2 linked regions of the Pelodiscus sinensis genome follow. The protein of the gene in region 1 purifies or fractionates together with the protein of each later gene. This does not show direct contact. Links are inferred from orthologs where the notes say so. Each region holds a gene or a part of one and is shown on either strand. Other genes may lie near its edges.

Evidence for each region.
Region 2: the proteins of ARHGAP12 (region 1) and TJP2 purify together in Homo sapiens (co-immunoprecipitation; 3 studies listed by BioGRID and IntAct, with this or other methods). This does not show direct contact. The link is inferred for Pelodiscus sinensis from reciprocal best matches to the Homo sapiens genes ARHGAP12 and TJP2.

The regions. Positions count from the first base shown.
Region 1 is NC_134712.1:229,555,043-229,564,411, reverse strand, and holds the start of ARHGAP12 (rho GTPase-activating protein 12), read left to right. Parts: upstream 1-5,248; 5' UTR 5,249-5,469; intron 5,470-9,369. UniProt on the Homo sapiens protein: GTPase activator for the Rho-type GTPases by converting them to an inactive GDP-bound state.
Region 2 is NC_134716.1:32,193,978-32,203,760, forward strand, and holds the start of TJP2 (tight junction protein 2), read left to right. Parts: upstream 1-5,396; 5' UTR 5,397-5,419; exon of another isoform or gene 5,420-5,628; intron 5,629-5,676; exon of another isoform or gene 5,677-5,833; intron 5,834-5,928; 5' UTR 5,929-6,066; intron 6,067-9,783. UniProt on the Homo sapiens protein: Plays a role in tight junctions and adherens junctions. Acts as a positive regulator of RANKL-induced osteoclast differentiation, potentially via mediating downstream transcriptional activity.

The sequences.
Region 1 (9,369 bases):
CCTGCGTAGGGCACCATAAATCCTAAGGATGGCCCTGATTGGAATGGTGGTTGCTGATGGAGTGAAGGTCCCCCTCCCACACAACCAAACTCTTACCTTGCTGTAATTTATGATAAGAAGAAGAAGCTGCATACCAAATCTGGTGGTCCTAGCTCTTACTGTTTAGGAGGAGTTATTGAACAAACAGACAGACAGACAGACAGACTCTCTCACTCAGAGAGGCAAACTCTCTCAAATATTGTAGCAAATGTTTTTGAGGCACTGCAAGGACACTCTTAAGGGGGGAAAATTATGTGGAGACAATTGAGTAAATTTTATGTTTCATCTGCCCTTCTGTTGGTAAGAATTTAGGATAAATGTTCTCAAATCTAGTTTCTATGACTGACTTGTTTGTGCTGCAACAATATTAAAATATTCATTGCAGCTGTAGGAACTAATTATTTTAATGAAATATGTATTGCAGAGGTGGTACAAGAACCAAACCATTGTTTTTGTGCGGTTCCCATAAACAGTGGCTATTGTTTGGTTTTAGTTTTTAGTGGTTCAGTTAATCTTATTGAGGAGTGAAATGTTTGAAGGGTGATGTCATGCTAGGGGGTCTACTACAGACCACCTACCCAGGTAGAAGAGGTGAATGAGGCTTTTTCTAAACAACTAACAAAATCATCCAAAACGCAGTGTTTAGTGGTAATGGGGGACTTCAATTATCCAGACATACGTTGGGAAACTAACACATCAGGGCACAGAGTAACCAATAAGTTCTTGGACTGCATTGTAGACAATTTTTTATTTCAGAAGGTTGAAAAAGCTACTGAGGGGGAAGTTGATCTAGATTTGATTGTAACAAATAAGGAGGACCTGGTTGAGAATTTGAAAGTGGAAGACAGTTTGGGTGAAAGTGATCATGAAATCATAGAGTTTGTGATTCTAAGGAATGGTAAAAGAGAGAACAGCAAAATAGAGACAATGGATTTCAGGAAGGCAGATTTTGGTAAAGTCAGAGAGCTGGTAGGTAAGGTCCCATGGGAAGCAAGACTAAGAGGAAAAAGAACTGAGGAGAGTTTGCACTTTTTCAAAGGGACGTTATTAAGGGCCCAAAAGCAAGCTATTCTGCTGTGTAGGAAAAGTAGAAAGTATGACAAAAGACCACCTTAGCTTAATCAGGGGATCTGGCATGATCTCTGAATCAAAAAGAAGTCGTATTAAAAGTGAAAACGAGGACAAATTACAAAGGATGAGTATGCAGGGGAAGATTAGAAAGGCAAAGGCACAAAATGAGCTCAAACTAGCTAGAAACACGAAGGGTAACAAGAAGACATTCTATAAATATATTAGCAGCAAGAGGAAGACCAAGGACAGAGTAGGCCCATTGCTCAGTGAAGAGGGAGAAACAATTACAGGAAACTTGGAAATGGCAGAGATGAGTTCTTTGTTTAATGACTTCTTTGTTTCGGTCTTCACCAAGAAGTCTGATGATGAAGAAATACCTAATATAGTGAATGCTAGCAGGAAGGGGGTAGGTTTAGAAGATAAAATAAAAAAAGAACATGTTAAATATTACTTAGAAAAGTTAGTCTGCAAGTCACCAAAGTCTGATGAAATGCATACTAGAATACTCAAGGAGCTGATAGAGGAGGTAGCTGAGCCTTTAGCTATCATCTTTGAAAAATCATGGAAGATGGGAGAGATTCCACAAGATTGGAAAATGGCAAATATAGTGCCCATCTATAAAAGGGGAAATAAGAACTCCCCAGGAAACTACAGACCAGTCAGTTTAACTTCTGTGCCAGGAAAGATAATGGAGCAAGTAATTAAGAAAATCATCTGCAAACATCTTTTGGAAGAAAATAAGTTGCTAGGTAACAGGCAGCATGGATTTGTAAAGAACAAATCATGTCAAACCAATCTGATAGTTTTCTTTGATAAGATAACAAGTGTTGTGGATAAGGGAGAAGCGGTGGATGTGGTAAGGCATTTGATACTGTCTTGCATGATCTTCTAATCAATAAATTAGACAAATACAACTTAGATGGGGCTACTATAAGGTGGATGCATAACTGTCTGGATAACTGTTCTCAGAGAGTAGTTATGCCCTTCCAGCATGTTTGTGAACCATTAATAACAAGTGGGGTTCCGCAGGGGTCTGTTTTGGGACTGATTGGCATAGAGAGTATGCTTATTAAGTTTGCAGATGATACCAAGCAGGGAGGTGTTGCAACTACTTTGGAGGATAGGGTCATAATTCAAAATGATCTGGACAAACTGGAGAAATAGTCTGAGGTAAATAGGATAAAGTTTAAGAAGGACAAATGCAAAGTACTTCACTTAGGAAGGAACAATCAGTTTCTCATATACAAAATGGGAAGCGACTGTCCAGGAAGGAGTACTGTAGAAAGGCATCTAGAGGTCATAGTGGACCACAAGCTAAATGAGTCAACAGTGTGATACTGTCCCCCCCCCCAAAAGAAAAAATGATTATGGAATGCTTTAACAGGAGTGTTGTGAGCAACACTCTGCGCTACGCTAGAGAGGTTGTGGAATCTCCATCTCTGGAGATATCGAAGAGCAGGTTAGACAGACATCTATCAGGGATGGTGTAGGTCATTGTTTCTGAAAGTGTTCTGTGGAATCACTTTGTGAAACACATTAACTGGCCACCCCCATTTGTTATTCACCAGCACCGCAGCCATGGAGCCTCATGGCTCCCATTGGCGTCATTTCGTCCTTTGTAGCGAAGAGGAGCTGTGGGAAGCAGCGTGGGTCGGGCCACATCTTCCCACTGCTCTGCTTGGCTGCAAAGAGCGAAACAGAGCCCATGGGAGCCGTGAGGCTCCGTGGCTGCGGTGCCAGTAAATAAACAAATCGGGGTGGCCAGTTAATGTTTCTCAAAATGATTCCATGGAACACTTTCAGAAACACTGGTCTAGATGGTGCTATCTAGACTAGTACATTGTTCTAACATATTTTTGGCCCCATGCACACTGGGGGAATATCTATGCAGCAGCAATGAGCGTATTCCATAAGCCCTAGCTCTGTTCTAGTTAGGACAGTAAATACAGCAGTGTGGCTATAGTGGTGTTGGCAGTTGCTTGGGCTAGCCACCCCAGTACAAACCTGCATGATTGTATAGTTTGGAAAGGTCAGAGGGGTCGTTGCCTGCCCAAATAGCAAACCTTGGCAAAAAGCAGAATTTGTCCCTTCCTACATGGCCCTGGTGGTCTGATTAGAGCTGCCTGTCTTCTCCCCCTCATGCCCCCCCGCAACACACACATAAGTCAAATCATGCTTATGCCCAGACTCATGGTATGTCTACACTATGGAGTTATTTTTCAGAAAAACAGCCGTTTTTTAAAAAAAAAACTTCAATTACATCCACATTGCAATTGCGTTCTTTTGAAAGAAAATCAAAAGAACAGAGTTTTCTCCAACATTGGTAAACCTCTTTCTATGAGGAAGAAGCCTTTTTCCGAAAGAGCTCTTTTGGATAAAGGTATGTGTGGACGGGGAAGAGGGAGTTCTTTTGCAAGAAGAGGAAAGAGGAAAAAACACAGATGCCCTGGTGGCCATTCCACCCATAGTAATCACAGCTTACATGCGAGATAGCATCCAGACTGAATGGACACTATCTTTCGAAAAAGATCACTTTTTCGATGAGCTTTGGCAGTGCAGATGCTCTCTTTCAGAAGAAGTTTTTTCAGAAGATCTCTTCCGGAAAAACTTTTTCCGAAAGAAGCTTGCCATCTAGATATAGCCTCACTGAGTACATGCTGAGCCAGGAATCCAGTTGTGTTAGAATCCCATTTAGCTATAATCCAGTGGTGGACAACCTGCAGACCAGAAGCTGAACGTAGCCCATGTTGATTCTATGCATGGCCCACAAGACATTTTGTTTACCGTTGTCCACACACAGGGTTGTCCAATTCCACTGGCTTCTGTCTGTGTAGTTTTTTTTCCCCTACTGGTATTACTAAAGTGACACACTCATAAAAGGCATGTGAAGCAAGGTGTATGCTGACCGCACACAACATTTACTGAGAGAGCCATTCACTCTCTTGGCATCCAACCAAAGTGCTGCTATAGTTCAACTAGCACACCCAGCAAAATTCAAGTGCAGTTAGCAAAATTATCCTATCCCCGGAGACTGTATTGGTTATGACAATCTTGCAGTCCACTGAAGTGAAGGAGGCTCACTCACTAGCCTAAGTTGCTTATCACTACTATAATCAAATTCAAATTGTGTTTAAGTAAAATTTAAATTCATTTGTTTAACCAGTAAAGATAGAGTATGAATTTCATTTGCTTTCAGAGTTGCAAAGTCTGGACAACATACATGGCTATAATAGAGAAGAGAACAAAGAAAACTGTTCAGCAACACAAAGGATCAGAGAAGTAGACTTCAGTGAGGGCTTAAATTCCTAAAGAGTAAAAAAGATTTTATAAATATATTTAGAAAGCTAAGCTAGATTTGCAAATATTTATTCTCCTATGGCAACTTCTATGTCCAAAATTTACAACACAATTCAAATTCTTCCCATGAACTTTTGCAGCCTTGCCAGAAGTTAAGGGAGAGGAATTAACAATAAAAAGAACAACATAAATGGAATCAAGTCCTTTCTTTGTATACTTTCTTATTATAATTATTCCAGTTATGCCTCTTCTGCTCTCCCTTTATTAGATTTTTTTACTCACATCTGTTGCATCATTTTCTAAGTTAGACTTCAAGCTCTTCACAGGCTTTTGTGAAACATCCAGCACATTTCTGGGTGCTCATACAAATAATATTATTATTTAAGTCGGGTTAATTTAAAATTCTTTGACTTCTGTAGATTTTTATGAGTAATAAGGATTTAACCTACATTGTGATGTTTGTGAGTTCTGTAGCCTGTGGCAGTTCTCATTAAAGTTAAAATTAGCAGTGAAACAGAGGAAAAAAAATCTAAAATAAGATGCTTAACAATGCGTATCAGAATAAATAAGAGAGTAAGTCTTAGTAATCAAGCTCACAAAGCTTAGTGATTAAATTGACAAATTCTTAAAACACATGGGGGTGAAGTGACTAAAGTTGTTATAGCCACATGACGTTGTGTATGGAAAAAATAACCCCTCACGTCTATGTAGCATATGATAAAAATAGACCCATCTCCCCTTCCCACGCTGCTTCTCTCCGGCCTCCCTTCCCACAGAGCTCCTCTGTGACGTGCTCCCTCCTCTCCCCCCCACCCGCAGCTGCCTCAGCTCTGCTCCTCCCCCCATCTCCCTTCCCCACACAGCTTCTCCCTCTCCCCGTAGCCCCCTCCCCCCCAGGTGCCTCCTCCCTGGCCCGTCACCGCGCTTTCCCCCGTCCCTCCCCCGGCACGTGACGAGGGAGCGCTGACATTGCGCGAGCGCGAGGCGGAGACGGCGGCAGTGGTTGGCGGTGGCGGCGGCTGTGGCCGCGCTGAGGCGGGAGCGGACCCGGCGGCTACCCGGGTAAGGTGGCTGTAAGCAGGGGCCCAAGGCCTGGCGCCGGCCGGGGGGGCGGGCAGTGAAGGGGGCGGGGTCTCGGCGGGTGACCCTGTTGGCTCGCGGGAGGCTGCTGCTTCTGCCGCCGCCGCCGCCAGGGTCGCCCCCAAGCTGGCTGGGCCGGGAGGGGGTCTTGGCTGGTGCCCCGAGTCCCTTCCTGGAAGGAGCCTGAGTCCCTTTTGCCCTCCTCCCCCCCGCCGAGGGCGGGAGTCCTAGGGGAAGTTTCTTCCTGGCCCCTGGCAGGGGCTGGCTTGTGCCCGGAAGCGAGGAGGCTTGTGCTCGTCCTGCTCTGTATCCAGGGGCTGCTTCACCCCCGCTGGCCTGTTCGTACTCACCATAACTCCTGGGGTTGGCTGGGATGGGGGCGACAGTGGCACTGCTACCCCTGCCTTCTCTGTGCTCAGGGGCGCTGGAGCAGGTTTTATAGTTGGGGGTGCTGCGAGCCATTGAACCAAACTGTAAATCTGTATAATGGAAACCCCTTCAAGTCGGGGGGCTGGAGCCCCTGCCGCCCACCCGTGCTTCCAGTACCAATGCCTGTCCTGATAAGCAGGCTGCATAGCCCTGGGTATAAAGTTGACTGAGAACGACTTTCTCTCTTGTGTTGGAAATATGAAGTGGGGTGGGTGACTTTTTTGTTGTTGTTGTTGGTTGGTCATTGCACAGACTGCATGTTCGGTTTGTTTTTCAAAACCTTTGTGTATGTATATACTGCAGATGTGCCTGCTCACAAATTAGTTAACGGAGCTATGAATATGTCCTGTAATTTTGTTTTACCTGTTAAAATGAATCCTAAGGTTCAGATCAAAACTGCTTCAGTGCTAGTTGAGATGGTAGCCATTACTGTATTTCTCAGATGTCCATTTTGAATGTGGACTCTAACACACCCTAAAATGCTTAGAATGATTGTTTGTATAATTTAATCACTGTGTACAGACACAGATTTGCTCAGCTATTTATTGCTGGTCATTCTAATCAACAATATAACAATAGTGCATAGTGAAAGGCAAGGGGCTGCCTGCTTTAACATATACAGTTGGTGAAAAGTGGCTTTTAAAAGTTGCTTTGACAATGATTTAAAATATATCATGTATTCAGAAGTCTCTAAGATGAGCCAATAGACAGTTATCAGGAAATTATATTTTACTTATGCTTTTAATTTTTAAGCAAATATAAACATTTAGGGCAGACGGGCTCATTCTGCTTGGAAACTGCATTTGTCTCTTAATACTGATGATGGTTATGTTGGAGGAAGGGGTAAAGGTTTAAACCTTTTATTAATGGTCCTGAAAGTCCCTAATGTTCATGTGTGCTATTTGTGTTATATATATATATATGTTTGCTTGACATGATTTTACCTACAATTCTGCACAAATAACTGATGCTTGTTGTCAAGCAAAACTGTTCTGATGAAACTTCAGTATGTGAAATTCATTTCTAACAGCGCAGATGTGAGAGAAATTGTCTTCTAGAAAGTATGGACTTGAGGTACTCTCTGATGACATTAAAAAAAAGTAGCTCTTTGATATTGTAGAAATTTCTTCAAATTTTACTCCAAACTTGAATACTTATAAATTTGGAATATATTGTTGGCTTCTTTGTTGTTCTCCTTAGTCACTGAATGTACTGAAAAGCTTGAAAGAATGATTAGCTAACTTTTTTATTTTTGATCTTGAAAAATAAGAAAGTGTCTCAGAAAAATTTGAATAAAAGGTTAAATAACAAGAATTTCACAATGGTTTAAGTTTGTCCCCAAATAAGTATATCTTGGAACCATATTCAAGAAATGCTGTTGTAGCAAATGTTTTTGAGAAGTTGCAAGGACACACTTAAGGGGGGAAAAAACTACTATGTGGAGACAATTGAGTAAATTTTTTGTTTCATCTGGCATTCTGTTGGTAAGAATTTAGGACAAATGTTCTCAAATACAGTTTCTATGACTGACTGACTGGTTTGTGCTGCAACACTGTTAAAGTATTTGCTGTAGCTGTAGGGACTGATTCTTTTAATGAAATATGTATTGCAGAGGTGGTACAAGAACCAAACCATTGTTTTTGTGTGGCTCACATAAACAGTGGCTATTGTTTGCTTTTAGTTTTTAGTGGTTCAGTTAACCTTTTTGAGAAGTGAAATGTTTGAACTTCAGCTTTTTGTAAATTTAAAATGTCATACTAGTCTCTTAAAAATATTCTTAAAAGTCAAAGTAATTGTAAAACCATTTCTGATATTCTTCAAACACCCCTTGGAAAGGAGTCCAGTTTGTAGCTTAGAAATGCAGTGAATTGCTATGACAGCAGCCTGGCAGTCACAGGGGAAATCTTTGTTCTTTGTGCAGAGTAGTGCTGATATTTGAAGATGGGAAGTACTGTGAAATCTGGGGAAATAGCTGAGCTGCAGTACTTACTTGAGGCTTATCTGAAAGTTACACAGATTTTAACTAAAGGTGTAACTTAAAATTAGTTTAAACTCATGCTAGTCTGTAGTAGGAATGTTAAAATGTATGTAATTGGCTAACTGTAACTGCTGAAAATGGTTTTATGTGAGGTGGCTGCCAGCTCCCTGGCAGCTGATGTGATGCCAGAAGCCTGCTCTGGTGTGCACTGGATCCTGCACACACCCCCTCTCCGTGGGAAGCTGGCTGCTGCCTTGCACTGTATCAGAGGCAGCAGTGCGAGGAGGCATGTGGGAGCTGATATGCATGGGGATTCTGGCATCCAGGATCAGACTGCCACCCTGCACTGCTGCTTCTGTATCCAGTACAGAGGCAGTAGTGCAGGGCAGCAGCCGGCATCATTAGAGCCAGACAGGGAGCTGCGTGTAACTGTTTTTGGTAACCAATAAGCTAAGCCAAGTTTAAATGGCTACACTCTTTACACCCCTAATCTGTAGTCACTTCTGTTTTAGTTTGAGGACTTGTCTACTCTGGCAAGTTACTGCCCTGTAACTTTCTCACTCAGAGGTGTGAATCTCCCTTTTCCCCCCAGTGCAGTAAGTTACTGCGCTGTAAAGTGCCAATGTAAACTATCCTCACACTGGGAGCCGTGTTCCCAGTGTCATTAGCTACTCTCCTCGGGGAGGTGATTTACCTATAATGGTGCTGTGACTACACTACTGTGTTAACATGCTGCTGTGGCAATGCATTAAACTTGAACATGTAGACAAAGCTTAAAAGTCTTATTTCAGTGTAGGTTTTTTTTTTTTTACAGAATTGCTAAACTGAAATAAACCAACCTGAAAGTATCTAATTCAAATTTATATCAATTCTAAGTAAATTGGTTTAAATAAGCAGTTTGTTATATTCAAGTTTGTGCTTAGTCAAGGGCCCAGATTGTTTATGGATGAATCTCTTCTGGCAGGGATGTGTGTCAGACAACAGGAAAATTGTCAGAACAAATTCATTAAAACTGGAAAAGTGTTCATGAGAGACGAGGTTTTGGAACTGAGGCTCCTGAAGCTGGCAGGAGATGGCTTTTTCTTCTTTCAGCATGTCCTAAAACCTACCCAATATTGGGTGTGTCCTTACAGAATTTGATGGATAATCACCATCTCGGTGCTGAGAGAGTGTTCCATTTCCCCTAGAAAATGGGTGACCTAAAAGATTCTATGCATGAGCTCTAAAGCTAAAAATCTAAAGATGTTTTAACCACTTCAGTTCCTACCATACAGGCAACATAATGGTATTTTGCATAGTACATCCTTAAGACAACACAAATGTTTTGTAGAGTGGAGGAACTTAATCACTACCAGGCTATAAGGACACTATCAGTCTTTTAAATGCTCTGTCACCCAGACTTTTGTTAACCAAAGAAACAAATTTAGATGCACATCTCAGACCTTTTGTGAGTGGTGAATTTTCTTGCTGACTTC
Region 2 (9,783 bases), on another chromosome or scaffold:
CTGATACAGATTTTGAAATGCAATGTTTTCTTGGCTTCTGAGTTCCCCTGACAACTTCCTTGTGTTTAAAATGACACGACTGCCTGTTTGGCTAATACTGTTACTTTTGTGATGTGTCGTTGAACAATATGTAATAAATATACAGTATTCTTAGGTGGCATTGCCCATTATTTGGAATTAAAATGAAATTCTTGATACCAACTCTTGCCTGCTATTAATTAAAATATGAACTAACATCTCATGGAAGCCAGTTCTGCGTTAGATTATCTGTGCTATGTATGTGTATTTTTCAGCAAAAGGGAGTCAGTCACGTTCTTGCTAAATAACTTCTGAAATCAAGGAAATACAGTTAGGGCTACCAGTATGAGTCAGAGAGAGCAAAACACAGCACTACACAAAGCAGAGAGAAACCAGAACAGTTAAAAGAGGTGGGGCATGAACACCTCATTTACAGCAAATAGGAATTTGAGATGAAGCTGTTTAAATTTCACCCCTTCACAAAACTAGATTTAGTCAGCATGTATCTGACATTAGTGGTATGTTCACACAGGAGCCTTTTCAAGTTGGGTGAGACTTGAGCTAGTTGGGCGTGTTCTGGCACTGTACAAATAGCTGTGTAAACTCTGTTATGAGGTACAGCTCAGACTGGAGTTTGGGCTGTGAAGCTTACATAGGAGCAGTTTGGACAGACCAGCTGCGCTCTACACGGATGCTACAACTACAGCGGTCCAACAGAAGACTCTTGGGTAAAGAGGATTTCCAGTGCAGGACTACAGTCGTAGAAAATCTTACATATATATGTTAGAATATGAGCAACCCTATTCTAGTGCTAATCTAAGAGCAGGTTCTGCTAATGGCCACTTCCTAGGCACAGCTAATAATTGAGAAGACTCAAGAAGTAGAAGGTAAAAAGCAAAATAACCCAAACATGCAATAGAGAAAACTGTCTAAATAAAATGGCTATCTCAATTGAAAGTGTTTACATAACATAATGGCACTTAATTGATATGAGCTAATTGATTATGTTCCAAATTTGGATATGGAAGGTGGATTCTTTACAAGAGCTTAGTGTTGGCTTAACACTTGGTCTCTCTGATATCAATGGAAGTTTTACTATTGGCTCAGTTAGGTTAATGGAGAACACTTTTCAGAATTCCTTTAAAATCCTACCTATGCCTAGAATTCAGTGTTTTCCTTCTTTTGTTACATGCCTGATCACTAGAACCCTGCATAGATACAAAACTTATATCCATGTCCACACCCACATCTGCCCAAATGAGCTGCCAATATCCGCCTCCACATCCGCGAATGCAGATGCCTGCCGATTTTCAGGGCTCTCCATCACCTGTGCTGACTATACTCCAGTGGGTAGGTATTTTAGTAAATAAAGGCTTTCAGTAAATTGGGGGAGTGGTAGACAGCTATAAGAACCAGGGTTTAATCTCAAGGTACAACATAATTCAGAAAGCAAAAAGCAAATTGTGTCTTGATGCATCATATTGGAAGATCTTTGGACAGAGGTTCTGTTGTCTTACATGTTTTGTACAGTGAGGGCCCTGATCCCAAGCTGGGAGTTTTGTGTGCTGCCCTGACATGAATGTAAAAGTGTGTGCCAGAGAGACTGATGCACCTTCATTTGTCCCTCTGCACTAAGGCTGCAATACATTGACTCAGTTGATGAGTATCATTACAAGAGCATAGGTGCTAAAGCACCTCTTTTTGCTTCCTCACTTCACTTGTCTTGTGGCATTATACTCTCAGACAAATGCACTGAATTAAAAAAGGATGAAAATAGAAGGTAAAGAAAAGTCCCAATTTAGCTCCACAAGTTGTTTCACAAAATGAGAAAATCCTGCCCTGAAGAGTTTATAGTCTAAATAACTGAGAAGACTGACAAGTGAAGAGACACACAGTAGGGCTGTGCAAATAACTTTTGGTTTTTTACTTACTGGCTGAACCAAAAACATTTAAAAGATCAATTTTAAGTTTACCCTCATCAAAAATTTCAGGTTTTGGTTGTTAAAAAAAAAAAAAGCTATTTAAGTTCACAGTTCTCTGATTGAAATGTTTAGATTTGAAATAACCTTGCATTTTTTTACTTATTTTGAGTGAACGAAACATTTAGTTTCAAAGGATTTTTTAAACCTTTTAAAAAGAACACTGAAGTAAAAAAAAGGCAAAGTTTTTCCAAATCTAAACATTTCAATCAGAAAATGGTGAACTTAAATAGCTTCAGAATTTTTTCCTTTGTGTTTGATGGGACAAAAGGCAATACATGGAGGGGTGTGCTTTTTCAAAACAATAAAGCAAATTTTACATACATTTACAATTTTTTTGTTAAATCTGATTGTTTAAAAATAATTAAGCTGAAAAATTTGACCTTGCTCTAATAAGCAGGAGTAGGGCAGAGAGACTAATGCCATGGAATAAAGAGAGAAAATTGGATTGTTAGTTCAGTTTAGGCATATGTTTGGGTTAATAGCTCAGTTTTGTGGGTCTGAAAATAGTTTGTAGGCGTGTGTTGCAGAAATGAGTTCTTGGGAATAATGTAGATGGTTAAAGCAGTTTTTGGAAGAGCATTCAAAATATGAGTCAGCATGGGAAGAACAGAGAAAGTTGTGTGAAAAAAGTCAAAGGCACTTGGAAGTGGGTGAGGCAAAAGGGGACATGAAAGAAAAGATCAGTTGCAGATGGAAGGTGCTCTATGTGGTCTTTGCAAGTGAGGACAAGACATTTTAAATTGGCTGCACACAGCTGTTTGGAGCTGTTGTGATCTATCCTGTGAATGCTTCATAAAGAATAGGAGTGACTTGTATGCTGCTATTGAGGGGTTTTTTTGAACCGTAGTAAGACCAGGAAAGGACTTTATTTATTTGCACCCTTTCCAGGGTTTTGTCTGGAAGATAGAATCAGCTAATATCTAGAGAAAGAAAACAAATGTTTACAACAAGCTCCTCAGAGCAAGGCAGCTAACCTCTCCAAGTTGCTGAATTATTTTATCAATTTGTATTTGGGTAATTGTGTAGCACTAAGAAATCAATATGGTACAATGGATGATTTTGTACATGTTAATTCACTGATTTTTACACTGTTCCTGCTACTAATTAATATTTTCTGTTATGTTTGTCTTATTCTATATACAATTTTAAGAATAACATGTATCCTTGCATACCGCTCTTCATCTTCAAAACACTTAAAAACATTAGCTAATCCTTATGAGACTCCTATGGAAGATAAACATAATTTTCTATCTGCAATATATGGACTATATATGGAGTTTACTTTTATTAAGGAAAAAGGAATTGACACCAAAAAACACGTGAAACAAATAATGCAAATGGTCAGACAAACTCAGAAAAGCAAGGACATTCAGAGACTCCAATCTCCACGTCTGGTCTCATTTTGCTTTAGAACTGCAGTTGATTATCTCCTGCAGTAGCTGAAGGAAAAATAATTACTTAATTAACCCTGAACATCAATTATGTATATTAACCCTTATTTGTTTGGGGGCTTTTGGGGAGTAGATAGTTCAATAATGTCACTTACATTTCTGTTAATGATTAACAACACTTGGAAGCAGGGCCTTTAAAAATATTGTAATGGGGGAATATATCTTAATAGAAGCAGGCTCTTTCTGCTGTGTTTAGTTTTCAAGTCAAAGATTTAATTAAAAGCATGGTCTCTTATTCCTTCTGTTCAATGCATGGCATATTATGCCATAGTCAATCAAAAAGCAATTCTGTGAACCCATGCTCCTGGGCATTCTGAGAATTTCTAAACTTGAGCCACTGCTGTAAAATGATCCTGCCCACACTTGGCAACTGCCCTGCAAATTGTCAGAAGCCTGTACAGGGTAAAGTCCAACAGCTACAATACACTGTTATAAAGCTGTTGTGGGGAGTAAACTGTTTGATTTGGGAGAAATTTGCTTAGAGGGATACTATGAAGCAAACTAGCCAACAAAAGGCGATTTTTGTTGCTCCTTTATGATGTGTAAATATTACTTCTTAAATAAACCCTCATTTTTCACATTAAGACGGTCAGGACTTGGCACTCTCTTTTCAGATCAATGACTTCAGCAAAGACTGGAAAGCTGAAATATCTGGAAGTACATCTCGAAGCATAGGCTGATTAGGGAAGTTTAGGTTTCAGAATCGTGTCTGGAAGAACTGGAGGGTTCAATTACATTTTTTAGCCTGCAACTTGAGTTGCTATCAGAAGTTTCAGCTGTGAGGTGTGATATCACCAACCAGATAATCCAAAGATTTCTCAAACCCACCAGGAAAACAGAATAATGTTAAGAACAATTAGGAAAGAGAGAGAGAGAGAGCAATCCATATGCAATCCTCTAAATAAATCCATGATATGCCCACATCTTGTAATTCTGGTCTCTCCATCTCAAAAAGATAGACAGAATTGGAAAAGGTATAGAGAAGAGCAACAAAAAGGGGTATGGAACAACATCCATATGAGGAAAGATTAAAAAGATGGGCTTTTCAGCATGGAAAAGAAAAAAAACTAAGAGGGAATAGGATAGAGATCTATTCAGATCATGAATGGTAAGGAGAAAGTGAATAAAGAAGTGCTATTTAGTCCTTCATGTTACAAGAACCAGGACTCACCCAATGATATTAATAGGCAACAGGTATAAAACAAACACTAGGAAGTACTTCTTCACATAAAGGCACAGTCAACTTGTGGAACTCTCTTTGTGAAAGTAAAAATCATAACAGGTCAAAAAAGAACTAGACATTCCTGGAGGATTATAGATCCCTGAATGGCAATTAGCCAGGATGGGCATGGATGCAACTCCATGCTCTAAGTGTCCCTAGCCTCTCTTTGTCAGAAGCTAGTAATATTTCACTTCACGAGTGTCTTTTCTGTTCATTCATTCTGTAACACTTGGATTTGGCCACTGTCAGAAGACTGGTTAGCTGTCAAATGGTCTTACCTAGACTGTTTCAATACTTGTTCTGTGACTAAACAGAGGCCACAGCTGTCAAATCAGCAGTGCTTTTCAAGATTAGTGTGATTTGTAGAGGTCCCAGTTAAGATCAATCCTCAACCCAAGGAGATTTCAATCTAAATAGAATGGGAGGGGAAACGTAGAGGTGAAGTGACCTGCCAAAGGTCACATAGGAAGACAGTAGCAGAGACTAGACTAGCTCTCAGCTCAGCTTGAATCCCAGGCTTGCCCTATTCTGTGAATCACACGGTCTCTTCGCTCAGACATTTCCTAACAACAAATTACGTTGTTAAGCCAAGCGGTCAAAGATTAGGGAAGAGAGGGCTGTTTTTCCTGATTTTTTTTCCTTTCTAAATTAATATAATAGTGATTTTGAATTTAATGTCGATTTTTTTTGGGGGGGGGGCTCACCAGTTTTTTGTTCACTTACGAGACAAAGCGGTCGGCGAGAGGGTGAGTTTCAGGTCAAAACAGGGGCTGATGTAATGGCTCAGAAGATCCCACCTAGTGACTAAACCCCGAGTCTAGTAGCTTTCCTCCTCGCACCTATTGTACCAGGGCTTTGAACCGGTATTTCCTGTTCCACCCTCTCCAGCCAGAGCCAGTCGTGGGGGTGGCTGGAGAGGGCGAGAAGCTGCCAGTAAATGGGAGAGGAGGCTGGGGTAAGTCGGCGGAGCGGAGCTGCTCAGGCGGCTGTGGGTGTGCGCGGGCGGGGGGGATGTAGAACCAGCTGGCCCCCCAGCGTGTGGACAGAGTTTAGCGCGGAACCAGGACCTCAGGCAGCGCTTCCGTGCATGGCAGCTCCCAGCTCCACCTCCCTCCCCGCCCGCTGGGGAACAAGCGAGGGCTGGGCCGGGGAGCGGAGAGGCAGGTGCTCCGAAGGGCTCGGCCCGCTCCGACCCCGCTCACCTGCCTTGCTGGAGGTCTGATCAGGTCCCCCCCTCTCCATTTGCCTCCCACAGGAAATAGCCTGACTCAAAGAGACCCCGCATCTCCTGTCCCCCAGGCGTCCCGGGCTGCTCCCTCCACCAGCCAGGGGGGCGCTCAGCTCCACACGGCGCGGGCTGCTGCCGCCGGACGCCTTGCCAGCCCCGCTCCAGGTATGTCGGCGCAGCCTCGCGGCTCCCCCTTCTCTGCGGAACTGCTGCTTCCGAACCAGCCCAGCTGATTTGGAATGTCGCGGGGTGGTGGGGGGCGAGCCCCACTTCGCCACGTGCAGGCCAGGCGCTTGGCGGGGACTCTTCCAGCTTAGCTGGTGCGGGGAAGGAATTGTCCCCTGGCTCGGGTGTATTGCCCCGTGCAGTGGAGCTGAACAAAAACCCCCTTCCCCAGCCATCAGGGAAGTTCCGCTCCGCAGCCCGGCTTCCCAGCTGGCTCTGTATTGGAAATAAACTTTGGGTAAATCTCTGCTCCGGATCGGCAAGCTGCGGCTCACCCTCCGCCCCTTCCCTCTCCTGCTTTCTCCTCGCCCTTTTGCGCCTGTGCGTGCCTTGGCTGAAAGAAGCCTGAATTGGGTGTGCGTGGCTGGCTGCACATTGTTCTCGGGTTGTTTGGCTTCATGTTCGCTCGGAGGCAAGCCTCAGCAGGCTGCCAGCCCCTGAGGGAGGGAGGGACTCTTGTTCCTGCTTCACACTACCAGCCTCTCCTCTAGGGAGCGGGAATACCCAGAATCTCATTTACAGATGATCTTTTCTGTAACAGGATTATGGGCCTCTGTTTCAATTCCCACGTTAAGTACTTTGAGGGAGTCCATGATAGTAGGTGGGTAGAAGAGCTGTCACTGAGGAATCAGGCTTTCTTTAGTTTTTCTTTCTTGGAGTGTGGGTGGGAGCGAGGGAGAGAAAACGTACACCAGAATAGTGACTCAGAGTGTCTTTGCAATACAGAAAATTTCCAAGATCTTTATGTTGGCACGTCCTCACTGAATGCCAGCCATACTTCTGGATGAGGGGACATTTCAGGATATCAAAGTATTTTAAAACAAGATTTGGCAATTCAGGGGTTCAGAAATACCTTTACAGCTGTTTTGTTTCTTCAGTCAGACCTATTAACTCCTCCTCTTTCTTACTAGGTTAAACTATATGCTAACTTTAAAACACAAACCAGATATTACACAGTACCAATTACTAATAACAGTAGTCCAAATTAAACAGCTGAAGTTTGAGAAGATTTAAAATCTGAGATTGTGTAAACAGCATAGGAATTGACACAGGAAATGAGGGCTAACATAGCTTTTGAAACCGCTAAACCCCAAGGTTTTGTCCCACTACAAAGCCACCACAAGTCTGGTTTGATGTGACAAGGACCTCATAGAAGTTAACTAGAATGTACAAGGCACAGCACTAATACAATGAAATTTAATTTTAATAATGATCACTTAGGGTTAGAGAGACAAGGTGGCTTTTATGGAACCAACTTCTGTTGAGAGAGACAAACTCTTGAGTTCAGGACAAGGCTACACATCAAAATTGTCAACCTAAATTATGTTGACTGTGTTATGCAGTAACTGAATAGCTTTTTTTACATAACCATGCTCAGCTCTTTGCATTGGTGGTCCACATTCTCACTGGGCATGTTTGCACCAACAATAATTGCCAGTGTAAGGACATTGTGGGATAGTGTCTGAAAGAAAGCAAAAGTTGATGTAAGCTACACAGTGTCTACATTGACACTTCATTGACCTAATTATATAAACTTAAGTTCTGTGCCTCTCATGAAGATGGGGTATTTAAGGGCTTCTCTACACTACAAATTGTAATTTAAGTTAATTCAGCATACAGCCAACATAGTAATTACAAGTAGTGGTTCTTGTTCACACTTGCCCCTTTTGTCAGTGGCACACATTCTTAGCAGCAGCACTTCCACAAATGGGACTCACACCTGTCCCCCCTCCCAACTGTCAGGCAGGTGCTGGCTCACAGCTAGGGTCCTCTCAGCCCCATGTGGGGCTCACAGATGGATTCTCCCAGTTCTGGGGATGACTGTAAAAATACAGTTTTTTTTTTTTTTTTTAAAGCAGAACAACCCATTCTAACCAACAGCTGGAGACAGAAGGTGAAATAATAGCATCTATGAAAATGACAAGAATGTCAGTTTCACCGGTGAAACAAAAGACAGGACTATGCAGCACTTTAAATACTAACAAGATGGTTTATTAGATGATGAGCTTTCGTGGGCCAGACCCACTTCCTCAGATCAATTTGTGGAAGAAAATTGACATGACCATATATACCAAAGTGATACAGTCAAAAAAAAAAGTGAACAAATAAAATTGACAAATCAGATTTTAGAACGGAGAGGGGATGTGGGGGGGAGGTTAGTGTCTATGAGGTAATGATATTAGGGGTGATAATTCCTAATTATCATTCATAGTTCCTGCTGTGAGACTCCCTGTTGTGAAACTTAACCTTGCAACACCCTCTCAGCTGGGGCTATCAGCCTGGGAGTGATTGGGGGGTGGGGCAGGAGGAGTGCCCTAGCCCAGACAGTTAGCAAGCTCTGTAGTAGTGTATAGATCAAGCCTTATCAGTGGAATGGGTGAGTCAGGTAGGTGGGAGCTACATTTTAGTGTAGGCGCTTATAGAGACAGGATGATGTAAGGTAGTTACATAACTTGGTAGAGTAGACAAAGTGACCTGAAGAACAGCTCTGTGTAACTTATGTTAGTCATTCAGCTGTAGATCAAAAATAAATGTTCAAAAGCCATTTCTAATCGGCATTGATTTGTTGCTTATTAGTGCTCACGGTTATTCAGTGTTGGGCATGACACAAAAATAATAACCATGCATTGCTCTTCTAGTGCTTTTCCCATCATAACAAGATATCACTGTACAGTATATTCAACACAATGGGCCATATTCTGATTGTTTGACACTGCACGGCCCTGATCATTTAAGAACTGTTAAATAGACTGTGTGTTCAAGGGCAAAATTAGATGATGCATTTGTTTTATATATTTTGAGACTCTAGTATGGATGAAAACTGACCATAATACAGTGTACAAAATGCTCTCTACAAAGCCTCGTCACTGAAGCTTTAAAATAAGCCATCACGGTAATTGAGTCTCCCATATCTTTGATTGCTTAATCTTCCCATTCATGTCTCATAAGGACAAGCAGGAGATATATTTCTTTGTGATCTAAAAGATCACATAGCTGCTAATGTTAACAGTACCAGAAAAAGGAATTGGATGCTAGCCATCCTGAATTATAAGAAATTGGCTAATATTCAGATTTATTGAACTAAAATAAGTTTATTTTAAATACAAAATAGCAAAATGTTTGCAATCAATAGCTTTCATTAACTTTCCGACAGCTCAAAAAGCACATGACATAAATATTTCTGTCCGAATATAGAAAGAGATTATTTTCTAGGGCAGAGGGAGTCACTTGAACCTTTCCTATAAAACAGTATTTTGTTAAAAATGTGGGGTTTTTTTTAATCATTTGAGTGAACTTGTCTTGTGTGTGGTTTTTTTTGTTTTGTTTTGTTTTTTTTCCTGGAATGAATAGAAGTGAGGTGATTTCTAATGCAGTATTTTAAATTCTTTTTTAATCACTTAAGGAGCAAAACAACTAAGCATTTCCATTCTAAGCAGCAGAACCAGTAAGCTACGTCTACATTGGCAAGATTTTGCGCAAATACTTTTAACGCAAGAGTTTTTGCATTAAAGTATTTGCGCAAGAGAGCGTCTACACTGGTATGTGCTTTTGCACAAAGTCATCTGTGCCAGTGTAGACGCTCTCTTGCACGCAAGAAAGCTCCGATGGCCATTTTAGCCATCGGGCTTTCTTGTGCAAGAAATTAATGTTGCCTGT